2 linked regions of the Callithrix jacchus genome follow. The protein of the gene in region 1 binds, or shares a complex with, the protein of each later gene. Links are inferred from orthologs where the notes say so. Each region holds a gene or a part of one and is shown on either strand. Other genes may lie near its edges.

Region 1 (7,950 bases):
TTCTTGATAGACACATTGCTGTCACAGATAAGCCCAGTGCTTGGTAATTTTCTACCAATTCCCACTTGCATTCTCCAGTCTCTGTGTTAACAGTGACCTCTTCCTCTACTTTTGCTTAAATGTTTCATGATTAACTGGCCTCCTTCCACAGAGCAGCCTTACCTACCCATCAAAATTTACATTTAACAATTTTTTTTTTTTTAAGCAATCGAAAATTTACCTACCCAATCCCTTGCCAGCAGATTGGCTGAGAGGTTGTATGTAGAAGCCACAGTGTGTCCAGCACACAATTGCTTACAAAAGGTGGGCAGTAAGCAACATATTGTTATTAATTTCGAGACTAAAATTCTCGCCCTTTTGCCCAGGCTGGAGTGCAGTGGCGAGATCTCAGCTGACTGCAACTTCCACCTCCCTGGGTTCATTCAATTTTCCTGCCTCAGCCTCACGCACACTGCTAAGCATACTCGAGTTTTGTTTTGTTTTGTTTTGTTTTTCTGAGACAGAGTTTCACTCTTGTTACCCAGGCTGGAGTCCAATGGCGCCATCTCGGCTCACCGCAACCTCCGCCTCCTGGGTTCAGGCAATTCTCCCGCCTTACCCTCCTGAGTAGCCGGGATTACAGGCACGCACCACCATGCCCAGCTAATTTTTTGTATTTTTAGTAGAGACGGGGTTTCACCATGTTGACCAGGATGGTCTCGATCTCTTGACCTCGTGATCCAACCGCCTCGGCCTCCCAAAGTGCTGGGATTACAGGCTTGAGCCACCGTACCCAGCCTGTTTTGTTTTTTTGAGACGGCCCAGGCTGGAGTGCTGAGTGCAGTGGTGCAATCTCTGCTCAATGCAATGTCCGCCTTCCAGGTTCAAGTGATTCTCTTGCCTCAGCCTCCCAACTAACTGGAATTTTTGTTTTGCCCAGGATCACTGAACTAGCAAGTGGCAGAGGAGGGATTCAAAGCTGGGTTGAGACTCCAGTGCTGAGGTGCTAACCATCAAACTACACATCTGACATCTGCATAAGGAAACTATTTATTTTTTTAGCAATTGAAAATTTACATATAACAGGATCTTGTTCTGTCTCTGAGACTGGAATGTAGTGGTTAAATCACAGCTCACTACAGCCTGAAACTCCTGAGCTCAAGTGGTCCTCCCACCTTAGTGTCCCAAGTAGCTGGAGCTACAGGCTTACACCACCATGCCTGGGTAATTTTTGTTTGTTTGTAGAGATGGGTGTTTTGCTGTGTTGTCCTGGCTGGTCTTGAACACCTGGGCTCAAGTAAGACTCCCACTTTGGCCCCTCACAAAGTGCTAACATTATAGGTATGAGCTATAGTACCCTAAAAAGATGCCTTTGGCTGGGCGCGGTGGCTCACGCCTATAATCCCAGCACTTTGGGAGGCCGAGGCAGGTGGATCACGAGGTCAAGAGATCAAGACCATCCTGGTCAACAAGGTGAAACCCCGTCTCTACTAAAAATACAAAAAATTAGCTGGGCATGATGGCGTGCGCCTGTAGTCCCAGCTACTTGGGAGGCTGAGGCAGTAGAATTGCCTGAACCCAGGAGTCGGAGGTTACGGTGAGCCGAGATGGCGCCATTGCACTCCAGTCTGGGTAACAAGAGCGAAACTCCGTCTCAAAAAAAAAAAAAAAATCAAACTTCTCAACAGCTCCCCAGAGTCGTTTGTCTCTTTCAGCCACCAACTGCACCCTAATGCCAGAAGTGACAAGATAAGTGAACAATTGAGTTCAGGAGCCCTGCCCCCACTCATTCTCCTCCTGCTGGATCATGTCCCATCTTGAAGTACCCCTGGCCGAGAAAAAAGAACACCCTGAGGGAGGGTAGCCTTAGATGAGAAGCATTTTCCAGAAAGACAGTAACTACTTCCTCTTCTTAGAAAAGTAGGAAGGTCTCTCTGTGTAGTTTGCAAGTACAGAAAAATTAAAAAAAAAAAAGAAAAATAGGAAGATTGCCGACATTGCTCTCCGGCCTGGGCAACAAGAGTGAAACTCCATCTTAAAAAAACTCGAGAAAAAAAAAGGCCGGGTAGGGTGGCTCCACGCCTGTAATCCCAGCACTTTGGGAGGTTGAGGTGGGAGGATCACCTGAGGTCAGGAGCTCAAGACCAGCCTGGCCAACATGGTGAAACCCTGTCTCTACTAAAAATACAAAAAAAATTAGCTGGGTGTGGTGGCATGTGCCTGTAGTCCCAGCTATCGGGAGGCTGAGGCAGGAGAATTGCTTGAACCCGGGACACAGAGTTTGCAGTGAGCAGAGGTTGTGCCGCTGTACTCCAGTCTGAGCGACAGAGTAAGACTTCTCAGTCTCAAAAAAAAAAAAAAAAAAGATCAGGGTGGGGTACAGTTCAATGCCTCAGGAAGGACAGCACACCACAGACTGTGGTAATCATCTCAATCAGAAGAGAAGAGAGGACACTGGGAGTGGGGAAATCACCCTCAACCCCACTTAAGGGTCAAAATCACAGTTTCAGTTTTCCTGGCATTTTCTTTTTTTTTCTTCCAGACAAAGTCTCATTCTGGCACCCAGGCTGGAGTAGTGCAGTGGCATGATCTCAGCTCACTGCAGCCTCTGCCTCTCTGTAGGGCTGATGGCCCCACAGGGTCGTGGAGTGAGCCTTATGCTGTGCTGAGGCGTAGGATTCGAGAAATAAAGAGACAGGACACAGAAGTACAAGAAAAATGCAGCTGGGCTCGGGGGGCCACGCCACCTATAAGCGGAGTTAGGCAAGGCCCCGAATGTCCAGAAGCATGAGTATTTATTGTGTGTAGGTTAGGGGGCAGGGCAGTGAGTGAAATCATCTTTAAGGATAGTGATAGGGTCGTGAGCAATAGAACATGGAGTCCACCCCCATCAGGTCACCTAGGCCAGGAGGTGGACAGTGCACAGCAAAGGGCCCATTCCCACGAAGGCAAGGGCTGTGCGCAGTGTGCAATACTTCTATCTATGGTCAAACTACTTCTAAGAAAATTTATAGGAGGATGCTTTAAGTCACATAGCAGTGACAGAGCTGTCAGGGTTACTGCCACCTTCTGGCAGCTTCCAATGGGTTCTATGGGAAGATGCTTTTCAAGCAGCACAGTAGCAAGAGCTGATAAAGTTCACAGTCACCAAGGTAGATTGCCGTTCTGAGGGCAGCCTTCCACAAGAACTGGAGCAACTTCTTTATCAGGAGGAGTGGCTCTTGCCCCAAGCCTGCCATACAGCGGGTATCTTTATGATACTGAACGCTGCCGCCTGGGCCATGGATTGTTGTCCTGGCATAACTGTTTTTCCCTTAAATCATGCTCTGCACTGTGTCTGCTCCAGGCATTCCTCTGATTATAAGCTGCTTATTCCTTAATTCATGCTCTGTACTGTGTCCACTCTAGGCATTCCTCCGATATGAACTAAGATATAATTATAGGTATATATGTAGGGAAATATTCTTTAGGCACTCATACATACTATTAACTATTATATGATTATATAGAGAGGATTATATAAAGGGATTCGTCAAGCCCTATTTCTATAAACTAATATATGATTGTATAAAGGATTATATAAAAGGAAATAGCTGAGTGGTAACACTATAAAGTGAGATATTCCTCAAGCCCTAACTGTGCCAGGGTTCTGCTTAGCTCTCATTCCTCGGTTCCTATATGGGGGGTTACCCACATCTCTCAGGTTCAAGTTATTCTCCTGCCTCAGACTCCCAAGTAGTTGGGTAGTTGAGATTACAGGTGCTCATCACCATGTCCGGCTAATTTTTTTTATTTTGAGACGGAGTCATGCTCTGTCGCCCAGGCTGGAGTGCAGTGGCATGGTCTTGGCTCACCGCAGCCTCCGCCTCACAGGTTCAAGCAATTCTCCTGCTTCAGCCTCCTGAGTTCTTGGGATTACAGGCGCCCACCACTTCACCCGGCTAATTTTTATATTTTCAGTAGAGACAGGGTTTCACCATGTTGGCCAGGCTGGTCTCGAACTCCTGACCTTGTGATCCTCCCGCCTTGGCCTCCCAAAGTGCTAGGATTACAGGTGTGAGCCACCACGCACAGCCTTGTTTTTTTTTTGAGACGAGTCTCTGTTGCCAGGCTGGAGTGCAGTGGCGCGATCTCGGCTCATTGCAGCCTCCATCTCCTGGAGCGTTTCTTCTGCCTCAGCCTCCCGAGTAGCTGAGATTACAGATGCGAGCCACCATGCCCAGCTAATCTTTGTATTTTTAGTAGAGACGGGGTTTCACCATGTTGCCTAGGATGTTCTCAATCTGCTGACCTCATGATCCACCCCCCTTGACCTCCCAAAGTGCTGGGATTACAGGCATGAGCCACTGCACCCTGCCTCTTTTTTCTTTTCTTTCTTTTTTGAGAGAGTCTCTTCTGTCACCTAGGCTGGAGTGTAGTGTTGTGATCATGGCTTACTGCAGCCTTGACCTCCCCAGGTTCAAGCAGTCCTCCCATCTCAGCCTCCTGAGTATCTGGGACTACAGACATGCACCACCACGCCCACCTAATTTTTTTTTTTTTTTTTTTAATAAAAAAAGATGGGGTTTCACCATGATGGCCAGACTGGTCTTGAACTCCTGACCTCAGGTGATCCACCCACCTCGACCTGCCAAAGTGCTGGGATTACAGGCATGAGCAACCACTCCCAGCCTTTTCCTGGCATTTTAATCTTAATCCCCTGATATAGTGATTAGTTCTTATTAGCTACATAAAAAGAGAAGGCTACTAGAATGGTTAACCCACATGGCAGATTGTCCACTTCCGAATGCTTAGCCTTTGAAATTTGTTTTGAGCGTGATGTGTTGCCATTTCAGGTTTGTGGTTGAGTTTGGTGTGCACAAAATATCCTACAGTTCTATTGCCTGAGGCTCCTGGGGGGCTCTCAGACACTGGCAGAAAGTCACCCTATCCACAGAGTAGCATATTCCCGCTCTTTGGCCAGTGGCTTCCACAATAGCTGTGATTCAACCTTGTTCAAGATGAGCCACATGCAGATAATCAAGCTGACTGAGCACAGTTTGGAGTTGTGCTATTTAGGAGCCAGAGGTCTGTTTGCTGGCCTGAAGAATCCCCTTGAACTTCTGCAGGAGGGTTTGGGCTGCCATTTCCACTCCTGCTTCTACCTTGCTCTTCGTGGTGGCTGTCAACCTGACTGGTTTCTTTGTCAGGCTCTTCAGCTTCAGAATGGAGACAAGAATTGCCTGGTTGCTCGCTCAAAGTGCTTCCTGAAGATGGGAGACTTGGAGAGATCCCTGAAAGATGCTGAAGCTTCACTCCAGAGTGACCCAACTTTCTGTAAGGTGACTGCATGGGGGGAGGGCTCGATCTTGCTTTCACCACTACCATTGCCTGCAGCAGCTTCTGGTTACAAGTAGCTGAAAAACCAGCCAGACCACCTACTGTTTAATGCCATTTTCTCTTCCTAGGTCATTGCCTATGTCCCTGCCCCTTGTATGCCAACCTTGACCCTCAACCCAGGACCCTTCTGTTCCCCCACATTTGAGTCCTGAAGTCTCTATCTGTTCACCTTGATTTGACTTCCTCCCATTCCAGGGGATCTTACAAAAGGCGGAGACACTATATACCATGGGAGACTTTGAGTTTGCCTTGGTATTCTATCATCGAGGCTACAAGCTGAGGCCCGATCGGGAATTCAAAGTTGGCATTCAGAAAGCCCAGGAAGCCATCAACAACTCAGTGGGAAGTAAGTGACGACAGGGCCTATGCCCTTATTTAGGAAGGTTTTTGGAATCCTTAGGTTGAGAGGAAGACTGAGGTACAGCGAGTGAGCAGCCAGCACCAGGCCCATGGGGAGTCCCACACCTGGATTTGGCTGCTGCAGCGTTGAGGATTAGGAACTGTCCACTGGGGGGACCAGGCCCTGACATACTGTACACTGATCTCTGAGCACTGCAGCCTTGGGTTTTCCTAAAGGCCAGATGAGAAGGGCTGTTTCAAAATAGGCCTGTCTTTAGCCTGGTGTCAAAAGCTAGAACACGGTCCTGAGCCCAGCCTTCCATAGTCCCTGGCTTCCTCCCTCATCAAACATATACCAAGAGCTGGCCTTAGCCATTGGCATTATGGCAGGGGGATAAGGGAGGCAAATGAGAGCAAGTGAGAGCTTGCTCTGTGGGTGACAGAGCCTGGAAATGGACAGAGTTTCTCCTGCACCCTTGGCCTCCCTTTGTTTGGAAATCTGCCATAGCCTTGGGCTAGCTGGGGCTGTTATCTCCTAGGATTTACACCAAACAGCCTGCAACATTTGCCTGTTAGGCTGGCTTAGGGCCAGCTTTGCCACAGCCTCCACCATCCCCCTGCCAAAGGCAGCCATCTCCACATAAAGATACGTGATAGGTCATGCCTGAGGGGGCTGGCCTACCTGAGCTCCAGCTTCTTTCCTTGCAGGTCCTTCTTCCATTAAGCTGGAGAACAAAGGGGACCTCTCCTTCTTAAGCAAGCAGGCTGAGGTAAGGGCCCTGGTCCTGTGGCTGTATCCCTTTAAGGGAAGAGGCTACGTGTGCCTGAGAAGGGGTCTTGGGAGTCTGGCTGCAACCCAACCAGGCATACTCCATGGTTCTTGGCCCACAGAAAAGTACTGGAGTTGGAGGAATCTGGGATCAAACATGCTGGGATCATGGCTGGATACGTTGTGCTCCTTGCTGAAACTCTGTTGGGTATTGCTCCATTTTCTCAGAATATGAAAGCCCAGCAGAAGCCTCAGCCCATGAAACACCTCTTACACCCCACCAAGGGAGAGTCCAAGCGGAAGGGCTCAATCAAGAGTGAGAAGATTGTCCGCCAGCTTCTGGGGGAGCTCTACGTGGACAAAGAATACTTGGAGAAGCTCCTATTGGATGAAGGTTTTGGACACTTTGTTGGCATGGGGCCTTGGGGAAAGGAAACCTGGGTGGATGCTGAATGCATGAGCTGAAGGCAGAACCTGTCATGTAATATTAACTGACATGTACCTATGGACAGGTTTTATTAGCATTCTCATTTTACAGATAAGGAAACTGAGGTGCAGACCAACGGAAACTAAGGTCACATATGGGGAGGGAATGACATGGCTTATGTTTGAATCCAGGACGTCCAATTTTAGAGCAGTGGTCCTAAGTGCTAAGGTACCCTGGGAGGGAACAACAGAGATTTGGTCTCCTTTACCACCATAGACCCTGGAGAGGCATCCCCTTTGCCTTCAATCTGTACAACGGGCAAAGGAATCCAGTGACTAGTGCTTGAATACAAGGATGTTACTTCTAGAATGTTCTGAAACATCATCTAGTCCAAGTTCTCCTTTCATAGATAAGGAAATAGAGACCCTGATTGGGGAGGAACTTTTACAAGGCGACAAGCAAGTTCATGGTGGAGTCAGTACCAGAACCCAGGCCTCTGACCTCCAGTCCAGTGCTCTTTTTTTTTTTTAATGACAGAGTCTCGCTCTGTCACCCAGGCTGGAGTGCAGTGGCATGAACTCGGCTCACTGCAACCTCTGCCTCCTGGGCTAAAGTGATTCTCCTGCCTCAGCCTCCTTAGTAGCTGAGATTGCAGGTGCCCACTGCCACACCTGGCTAATTTTTTGTATTTTTTAGTAGAGATGGGGGTTTCACCATATTGGCCAGGCTGGTTTCAAACTCCTGACCTTGTAATCTGCCTGCCTTGGCCTCCCAAAGTGCTGGGATTACAGGCATGAGCCACCACGCCCAGCCTAAGTTTTTGTATTTTAAGTAGAATTGGGGTTTTACCATGTTGGCCAGGCTGGTTTTGAACTCCAGACCTCAAGTGATCCACTCATCTCGCCCTTCCAAAGTGCTAGGATTACAGGCGTGAGCCATTGCACCTGGCCAGTCTAATACTCCTTTTACCATACTGCTGCCAGTGGATGCAGGACAGAGCCCTGAGATTAATGTCGCATATAAACATGGGGATAGTAGTATTGCCATTAGCTGATAA
Region 2 (8,555 bases), on another chromosome or scaffold:
TCACTTTTAAAACTAAGAGAACACTTCGGCTTGTGCGGTCCAATATTCTCATCTGACAAAGAGGAAACTAAGACATCTTCATATCATGAAACTCTTTTATTAAACATTCAATTTTTAAAATGTTTTCGTGGGAATGAATACAGTTCTCAATGCCTAAATGTATTAATCATTAATAATAGATATGTTGGTCATGTTAATGAGATAGTTAAATACTAATATAAATAAAATACTCTTTTTGTTACTCAAGTCATTACATGTTGCATAGAATTATATCTTGTCACTGAAGATGTAAATAATTTAAATGTCCTTTAAAAACTATTCTATTTATTAGTTTTATTGAGTATAAATAGAAATGCTTTGGGTTTTCTGATATAAAGTAAGGGAAAGGTAGTTAGTCAACATGACTCTGCCTTCTTCTTAAATACACAAAATAAAGCCAAATATTACCTCTTTTCTATGATCTTTTCAAAATTAAATTTGTATATTCCAGTGGCACAGGGAATGCAAAACACTAAGCTTCCTACCAAGAGGATGTCCAAAAGCCAAAACTTTTTTTTTCAGTTATGGCTGGATTTGGCCAATTTGAATCTCCTGTGTCTCTTACCTCTGTCCATAATCATGTCATCTGTCATTCCAAACGTCACATGCAGGATGTTTCGAAAGGCATTACGATCCAGTCCAATAATCAGACCTTGCCTCTCTACTCCTCCCACCAAGTTGTAAAAAAGCCTTATAAGACAGTTCACTTCAAATTTATTAACTGAAAGAATAAAACAGATATAACAAAAATGAATCCTTAATCTTTAAGCTCTAACTTAAATTTTGCATTAATAAGTTTACAAACAACATAAAAGACATCAAATAGGTAATTGTCAATAGAAGACTCTCTTGTTTTGAGATTCATGACCCTTAATAGAAATAGAAGTAGCACACCCTCCAAACAGGAGTTCCCACGTTTAGGGGAAAAATATGACAGTATTAGCTAAGTTATTAGACTAATGATGGTGGTGTAGGATTCTAAACTCTACAAGGCTGGTAGAAATATGACTCAAAATAAGAATGGTAAGGTTTAAGAATGGTAACTTTTTCCCAGTGTTTATTGGCATTCATGAGTTTACAACTTCTTTTCCCTGGAAATAGATGTCAGTTTCATGAAAAGTAGGTAACAATTTTCATTTCACTTTAGCCTTCATGGATTCATAAGCCAGATTTTGGAAACCAGAGTCACTAGTTTTTCAAAAAAAAAGCTTTACAGTATAGTCTAGCACCCAATATGGCTCTTGTTGAGGATTATGTAAAAATTAATATGCAACTATTCAGTAATTGTTGGGAGGAAAGAAATTTTTTTAAAGGATATATACACACAGATGCTTGCTCATACACATATTGTGTAAAGAACCATGGTTATAAATACCGAGCTGATTATTTGTGTTCCAATTCCCATTTGAGAATGTAGGTGGAAGGGTTATTGCTTGGTCTTGAAAATATAAAAGCCCAAATACCAAGTATGAGCGAAAGTTGGGGAAAATTTGTTTTGAAACCAGGCAGAACTATGATTGAGCATTTTAAGAAAACAAGGACAAAACCTGTGTGTGTGCGTGTAACAGAAGACAGCATCTAGGAATGGAAAAAGCACGCCTCATCTTAGAGGTCAGTATGGGCTTTTGTGGGATTTCTGGTTTTGAGAACCATGCTTAAAGAGAAATACTGAAAACTCTGGGAAAAAAAGGATTCAGTAAATAAATAGTAGGAAATAATATAATGGTTATGATTTTAAAAACAGCTGTTGTCACTGTGGAAAACATTAGGATGGTTCCTCAAAAATGTAAACACAATTATTGTATGATCCAGGAATTCTACCTGAGTACATACCGAGAAGAACTGAAAGCAGGAACCTGTACAACAATGTTCATAGTGGTATTATTCAGAACAGTCAAAAGACAGACGCAAGAGTCCATCAATGGAGGGATGGACAGACAAGATGTGGCATATTTATACAATAAAATACTACTATTCAGCCGTGAAAAGGAAGAAAATTCAACAGATAAATGAACATTTATGGACACTATGCTAAGTGAAATAGGCCAGACACAAAAGGACACATATTGTATGATTCCTTGTACATGCGGTACTTAGAGTAGTCAGATTCATAGAGACCAAGTAGAATGGTGATTGCCAGGGGCCAGGAGGAGGAGGGGATGGTGAGTTAGTGTTTCATGGGTAGAGTTTCTGTTGGAGACGATGAAAAAGTTCTGGAAGTGGATGGTGGTGATGGAAGCAGAACAGAGTGAAACAGAACAATGGGAATGTACTAATGCCATGGAACTAAGCACTTAAAATGGTCCAAATAGTAAATTTCATGTATGTAAACACACACACACCACACCCTTCTGAGAAAGCAAGAGCTGTTAGTGGTTGGGGAAGAAAAGCCTGCGGGAAGAACGATGCACTCTGTTCATGTATATAAAATGCTAGCAGATGGGATGTTGCTTAGCCATTTTTCTGTCTCAGCTGAAATAAAACCTTTTTAAAAATCAGTTTAATTTGTTACCCAAGGGATCAAAGGTTAGCCATAAGAAAACTTTAATTGCTAAATATTTCTTAAATTCTGGAATACAATATTAAATGAAACTGAAGAAAATTCAAGAAGAGATTTTCATCTTCTTGGAATGCTCTAAATACGTCCTGCAGAACATATCTGCAGAATGGTGCATGAACTAGATGCCCTCTTAAGATCTTTTACTCTTCTTTGATTCTACAAAATTTATCATTGAATCTTGATAGCTCTATTGTCTTGGAACTAAAACAAAATTTGACTTTAGGGGAAACTTCTTCTGTTCAAGGAAATCTAAAATTATTATAATACCCATGACTTGTAACTCTTTCTATAGACTTTAATAATCATCTAAGTTTGTAAGGCTCATTAAAATTGTTTTATGTAAAGAAAAAATCAAAGGAGTAGACTTTTTCCTGCCATATTTTTACTCATCTTTTGAAATATACACTCACCTTTTGATTGTTCAGAGAATGATTGTTTGCAATGCATTCAAATTTACTGAACAGAAACTAAATAAATTCAAACTTAAGGAAAGGGACAAAATCAGTATTGTGTACAGCAGCAATTGCATTGTTTTTGAATATTTATCAAAAATGTTTACTAGATGTTTCAACAATACCTATTTTTCTCCCAGAAATGAAAGTGTTTTAAGAAAAACAATAACAGAACAAAACTCTCATCGGAGTATAAGTCATAATAATACCTTAAATTACAGGATATTTTGCCTAAAATTTGTAAGATGCTTATACACACCATAACGTTCATTTATGCCACCATCCCACTAAGAGAGCATTTCTTACCAGTTATTAATCAGATACTAATGGTGATTCGAATGCACTAGATCTCACACTCTCTAAAACTACATCAACAGGTTTATTGCTTCTTCTTTGAGCAACCCAGGTCTTTGCTCAAAGACCAGTTGCTTCTGCTTCTTCAAGTGGCGAGCAGTTTTGCAATCAGCACACAACTTCTAAGTTTGCTCGACAGGCAATATCTTCCTCGTCTCAACCATATCCACGGCTTCCCTTGCTCAAGTGCAATTCTGTTTTTCAATCTGAATAGAATCTCAACATCTCCTATGAAATTCTAGGACCACCCTTTCAAATGCGAGATTAGAGCAGGCGCCTTCAATAAGGCAGTGCCCTTGGGTTAGAGCAGGCGCCTTCAATAAGGCAGTACCGTTGGGTTAGAGCAGGCGCCTTCAGTAAGGCAGTACCGTTGGGTTGAAAGCCTCCTTTATCTTTCAACACCACGGGCCACTGGAAAGTGGGAGTCTAAAGTTTGGACCCTTTCTTTCTTTCTTTTTTTTTTTTTTTGAGACTGAGTTTCGCTGCTGTTACCCAGGCTGGAGTGCAATGGCGCGATCTCGGCTCACCGCAACCTCCACCTCCTGGGTTCAGGCAATTCTCCTGCCTCAGGCTCCCGAGTAGCTGGGATTACAGGCACGCGCCACCATGCCCAGCTAATTTTTTGTATTTTTAGTAGAGACGGGGTTTCACCATGTTGACCAGGATGGTTTCGATCTCTTGACCTCGTGATCCACCCGCCTCGGCCTCCCAAAGTGCTGGGATTACAGGCGTGAGCCACCGCGCCCGGCCTGGACCCATTCTTTACCACCTGTTTAGTTGCATGAACTCTGGTTTCCAAACAAATCTCCTTGCTCTGAGGCACAGATGAGATGACACAACTCATCTCTCCTAAAGATGTTCAGAGCTTGGGCACCATTTTCTCCTGTGGGTCTCTTGGCAAGCTTCCAGAACTTAGACCTGCGGGTATATGTGCGAGCTAGAAAGCAAGGTGGGTGTACGATCTACGTCCGGGGTGCTACTTTTCTTAAGACCAGTGGGTTTTAGCATTTATTTTACACCTCCCTTAGGCTAACACCACAAGTTTCTATCATGTAAAAGAAGAGGCTTGGAGAAGTGCATGTGTGGGAGTGTAGGTAGCACTAGAAGCGTGGGCCTGGGTTCCTAAGTTCCTGGGCGTTGGAGCCAAACCCAAGGAGCTAGCACCCCGGGATTCCCTCCCTGCTTCTGCATAAGGGGCGGGGGTGGAGGGGCGGTAGCCCACAGAGGCCTGGGCTGCGGGAAGCGGGCACAACTGCGGCCCTTAGCACCGGATGGGGTCCAGGCCCGGCCCAGGAGCCTCGTCTTGTCCAGCACTAGATTCTTACTTACAGTGCTTGCAATTTTTAGTTAAGGTGTCGGTCAGCTTCTGCAGCTTCTTGCGGTTCATGCCTGGCGCCCACGGAATCGGGCCGCGGCGGGGATCTCGGGGCGCTCGGCTGCCGAGACCCTCGCGGGAAGCCCGCGAGCCCTGGGGCTGGGGCAAAGGGGTGAGGTCTCCGTCAACGAGCGCGTGCGCGGCCCTAACAGACGGTGTAGCCATGACAACAGCTCTGCCCGCCGCCGATTGGCTCCCAGGCTGCCCGCGACGTGACCATGGCAACAGCCGGGCCCCGCCCATTGGCTCCGCCTCTGCGCGCTCTGGGTCCCGGGTGCGCGGTGCTGCAGGCAGGGTCCCAGCCGGGCGCTTCGTGGGCTGAAGTCTGATGCTGACTTTGGGGTTTAAATGTTCAGTTGTCTGTGGCTGCTGAGTGCACAGCCTCCTTGCTTTGCAGCGTAAATCATTAAAATCTGAAATACGGTGTGCACGCTTTGTGAGGGGTGGTGAGCGTCACCCCTCAAGGGGTGGCCTAAGATCTTGGCCATCTTGGGGGCTGGAGCAGCGTCACAAAATAGCAAGGGTGCTGTCCAGATGGCTGTCAGCCTGGTGCAGGAGGGCGAGGAGCTTGCCCTTTGGGCGGAGCCGCTGCTCAGGCTGTCAGTGTTGCTGCGGTAGCAGGAGGCAGTCTGTCACCTGAGGTCTTCAAGTTTTTAGTGGTGTTTCTGAGAGCAAGGGGAAACTGGAATACAGTCAAGGCTTGCCTAAGGAGGGGGATGCGTTCTGAGGCCACTAGGCGATTTCCTCACTGTGCATACATCACAGTGCACGGACGCACACCTAGATGGCCTCGCCTACTGCACGCCGGGTTGAATGGTACAGCCCACTGCTTCCGGGCTGCACCCCTGCACAGCAGGTCACCCGTGGAGTGCTGCAGGCAGCTAGAACAGAGTGTGCTTCCCCAGAGGGCTTTTATATATGGATTATATATAAAATATCTTTTTTTATTTATTCATTTATTCATTCATTCATTTTTTGTTTGTTGTGAGACTGAGTCTCGCTCTGTCGCCAGGCTGGAGTGCAATGGCGCAATCTTGGCTCACTGCAACCTCTGCCTCCCGGGTTCAAGCGATTCTTCTACCTCAGCCTCCCGAGTAGCTGGGACTACAGGCACGTGCCACCACTCCCAGCTAATTTTTGTATTTTTGGTAGAGACGGGGTTTCTCTATATTGGCCAGGATGGTCTCGATCTTTTGACCTCAGGTGATCCGCCCGCCTCGGCCTCCCAAAGTACTGGGATTCCAGGCGTGAGCCACTGTGCCCGGCCCGGTGTTATATCCTATGGGACCACTGTCCTAATGCTGTCTGACGATGATCTAAATGGCGCTATGCAGCGTGTGACTGTAGTTTTTTTTTCTTTTCCCATTGCCCTCATCTCACTCTCAAAAGGTGGAGGTTGTCTGTGGAATCTGAGGAGAGCCACCGGGAATTTTTATAGTGGTTAAATAGGCATTCCCCCCCAGTGAAAACAAACTGACAAGTACCCCTTGGGTGTGGGGTGCAGCCCAATCTTGCTTTTCCAGTAAATATCTCAGTAACCTTCGTCTTTTACTTATTTGAAAGACGGGTTCTGTGCCTGCAGACAAAGGACATTCCTTACATCTTCAGTGTGGGAGCACTTTCTGCTTTTCCTAACCACAGAGGGGATCCCCTCTTTCAGCTAAGGTGGCAATAGAAAGGGTGGCTCAGCCAGGAGCACCAAATCTGCGGTATTCCCCAGAGTACCTGCTTGTTTAACTTCAGAGGGGAAAACGCCTTTGGAATACAAATTATTTTACTGTACACATACTCGCATTTTTAGACTGAAGGCAGAAAAATTCTACTAACCGAGAGTAATAATCCCAAATGAATAGTTCCAATGTCGAGGCCTCTGGTTTTTCTTCACTGTTTGATTTGTTTATGGAATGAAGGATTGGGACACTGTTTGAAACCACAGCAAAGGGTGCTTGGTTAAGCAGGGACTGGAAAGCAAATGTCCTGATATGAATTGACTGGTTATGAGTTTGTAATGGCAGTCTGGTTAAATAGCGTTTCTATGTATCCCCTTGTCTAGAAGCTGTGAAATTTCTGAGACCCTAAGAACAAAAGGGAAGGCTGAATATATTTGAATCACTTGAAAATTCAATTACATATTTGAATATTTGAATACTTACCTGTGATACCTTAATGATTTCTGTTAGATCACAAGAATTGTAGCAATTATTTAATTCCTAGAGATTGCTGCTTCTTGCTCACTTCAAGAGATAAGGACCCGAAAGAAGACTTGTCAGTAATTACTAAGAGAACCGGGGCTCCCCATCTGACGTTGTAGGCCTGCGCTGGGGGTGAGTACACTGGTGGTCGTTTCTGACTTTTGGGGAGATCGCATACACTGGGTGCTTGCTATGAGTGAGCTAATAAGTTATTCCTTCACCAGTTTCAGGCCTAGAGCCCATCAGCCATATTCCCTTAAAGTGAAAAAAAAAAAAAAAGATGTAGGGGCAATATCACAGATTGTTGAAATTAAAATATGCCAAGCAAAAATCCTTAACCTGTTGAGCAAACTTTGTAAGTCCCTCCTCCTCTTCTACTACTTTTCTCCTCCAGTTCTTTCTTTCTTCCATCCTGTTCTTTTAGCCAAAACAATCTCTACATCTATCTGTTTGTCTGTCTACGCAAGCGCATTGCTTTGTGAATCTCACTTATCTAAGAGAGTGGTTTACAGAGTTGACCTTACAGTTAGGTCTTCCCATCTTTTTCAGGGAAAGCACTGTGTTTATTTAGGGTATGTTTTGTCAACATACGGCAAACTCCAAGCTTTCATTACATTCTTGCAAAGTTTTGGAAGTTAATATTTTTAGATTTTAGGAACAAGTTGCAGGCCTGCTAGAGTTAGTGAATGACATTTCAAAGCAAGTTGAAGTTTCTATTTGTAGTTCTAGTTGCTTATGCTGCGTAGACACAGGACTGCTTTCTCCCAAGGGCTTTCTCAGAGTAAATCATGAAGCCTGAGAGGCTGCTTCATATCAAATCAATCAATAATGAAATAATAAAGGATTGTGTTTAACTTGTATTGGACATAAATTTTACTGTGCATGGAATGATCATAGAACTTTCCAAAATCCAAGCAACCTCAAGATGAATAGCTCTGTAAACACAGGAGTACATTAACCTGACTACTAACGTTGTTTCCTTCAGTTTTGCGTGCACAACAATCTTCCCTCTGACTCGGCTTTCACTGGATTGTTGCCATGATAAGCAGCCTGGACCTTGACTTGATGAAAGTGTTTTCCTTAATGTGGACCTTTTATGATGAAGGCCTTTGGATGCTGTTGAGGAAATGACATAGAATTGATCTCCAAGTATATCACAAATCTATTATAAAATTGCTTGAATCCAAGGAAAATAGAAAGGTTAGTTACCTGCATAATAGAAATTCAATCTTACTAATTTTGTTTTGTGGAGATAGTGATAAAAATGTCAGAGTTACCTGAGTGGCCAGGTTTTGGGTGGTGGAATCTCCAAGGGTGGTGGTGACAAGCTGCTGCCAGCATTCAGACCCAGAGGACACTGTCTCATGCACAGTCTGCGTTTTCTTTGCCCCGGCCACTCCCCGTGGGCAACTCTTCAAAGTGCTCTTTCAGCTCCCAATATGAAGTGAATCCTTCCCCAACCAGCCATTTTCTTCCTCGGTACCATTTTTCTAGCACTGGTCACTGTGTGAAACAACCTGTTTTTTCTAACCTCTCCTTCCACTAGACTAAATTACATGATCTCCCTCTCTCTCTCTCTCTCT

The links.
Region 2: ODAD4 (region 1) and CLXN share a complex: the UniProt entries of both Homo sapiens proteins name them as parts of the outer dynein arm-docking complex. The link is inferred for Callithrix jacchus from reciprocal best matches to the Homo sapiens genes ODAD4 and CLXN.

What each region holds. Positions count from the first base shown.
Region 1 is NC_133506.1:91,291,133-91,299,082, reverse strand, and holds part of ODAD4 (outer dynein arm-docking complex subunit 4), read left to right. Parts: intron 1-5,168; coding exon 5,169-5,300; intron 5,301-5,553; coding exon 5,554-5,704; intron 5,705-6,405; coding exon 6,406-6,467; intron 6,468-6,694; coding exon 6,695-6,860; intron 6,861-7,950. UniProt on the Homo sapiens protein: Component of the outer dynein arm-docking complex (ODA-DC) that mediates outer dynein arms (ODA) binding onto the doublet microtubule. Plays an essential role for the assembly of ODA-DC and for the docking of ODA in ciliary axoneme.
Region 2 is NC_133517.1:5,913,617-5,922,171, reverse strand, and holds the start of CLXN (calaxin), read right to left. Parts: upstream 4,907-8,555; 5' UTR 4,793-4,906; coding exon 4,735-4,792; intron 761-4,734; coding exon 605-760; intron 1-604. UniProt on the Homo sapiens protein: Component of the outer dynein arm-docking complex (ODA-DC) that mediates outer dynein arms (ODA) binding onto the doublet microtubule. Seems to regulate the assembly of both ODAs and their axonemal docking complex onto ciliary microtubules.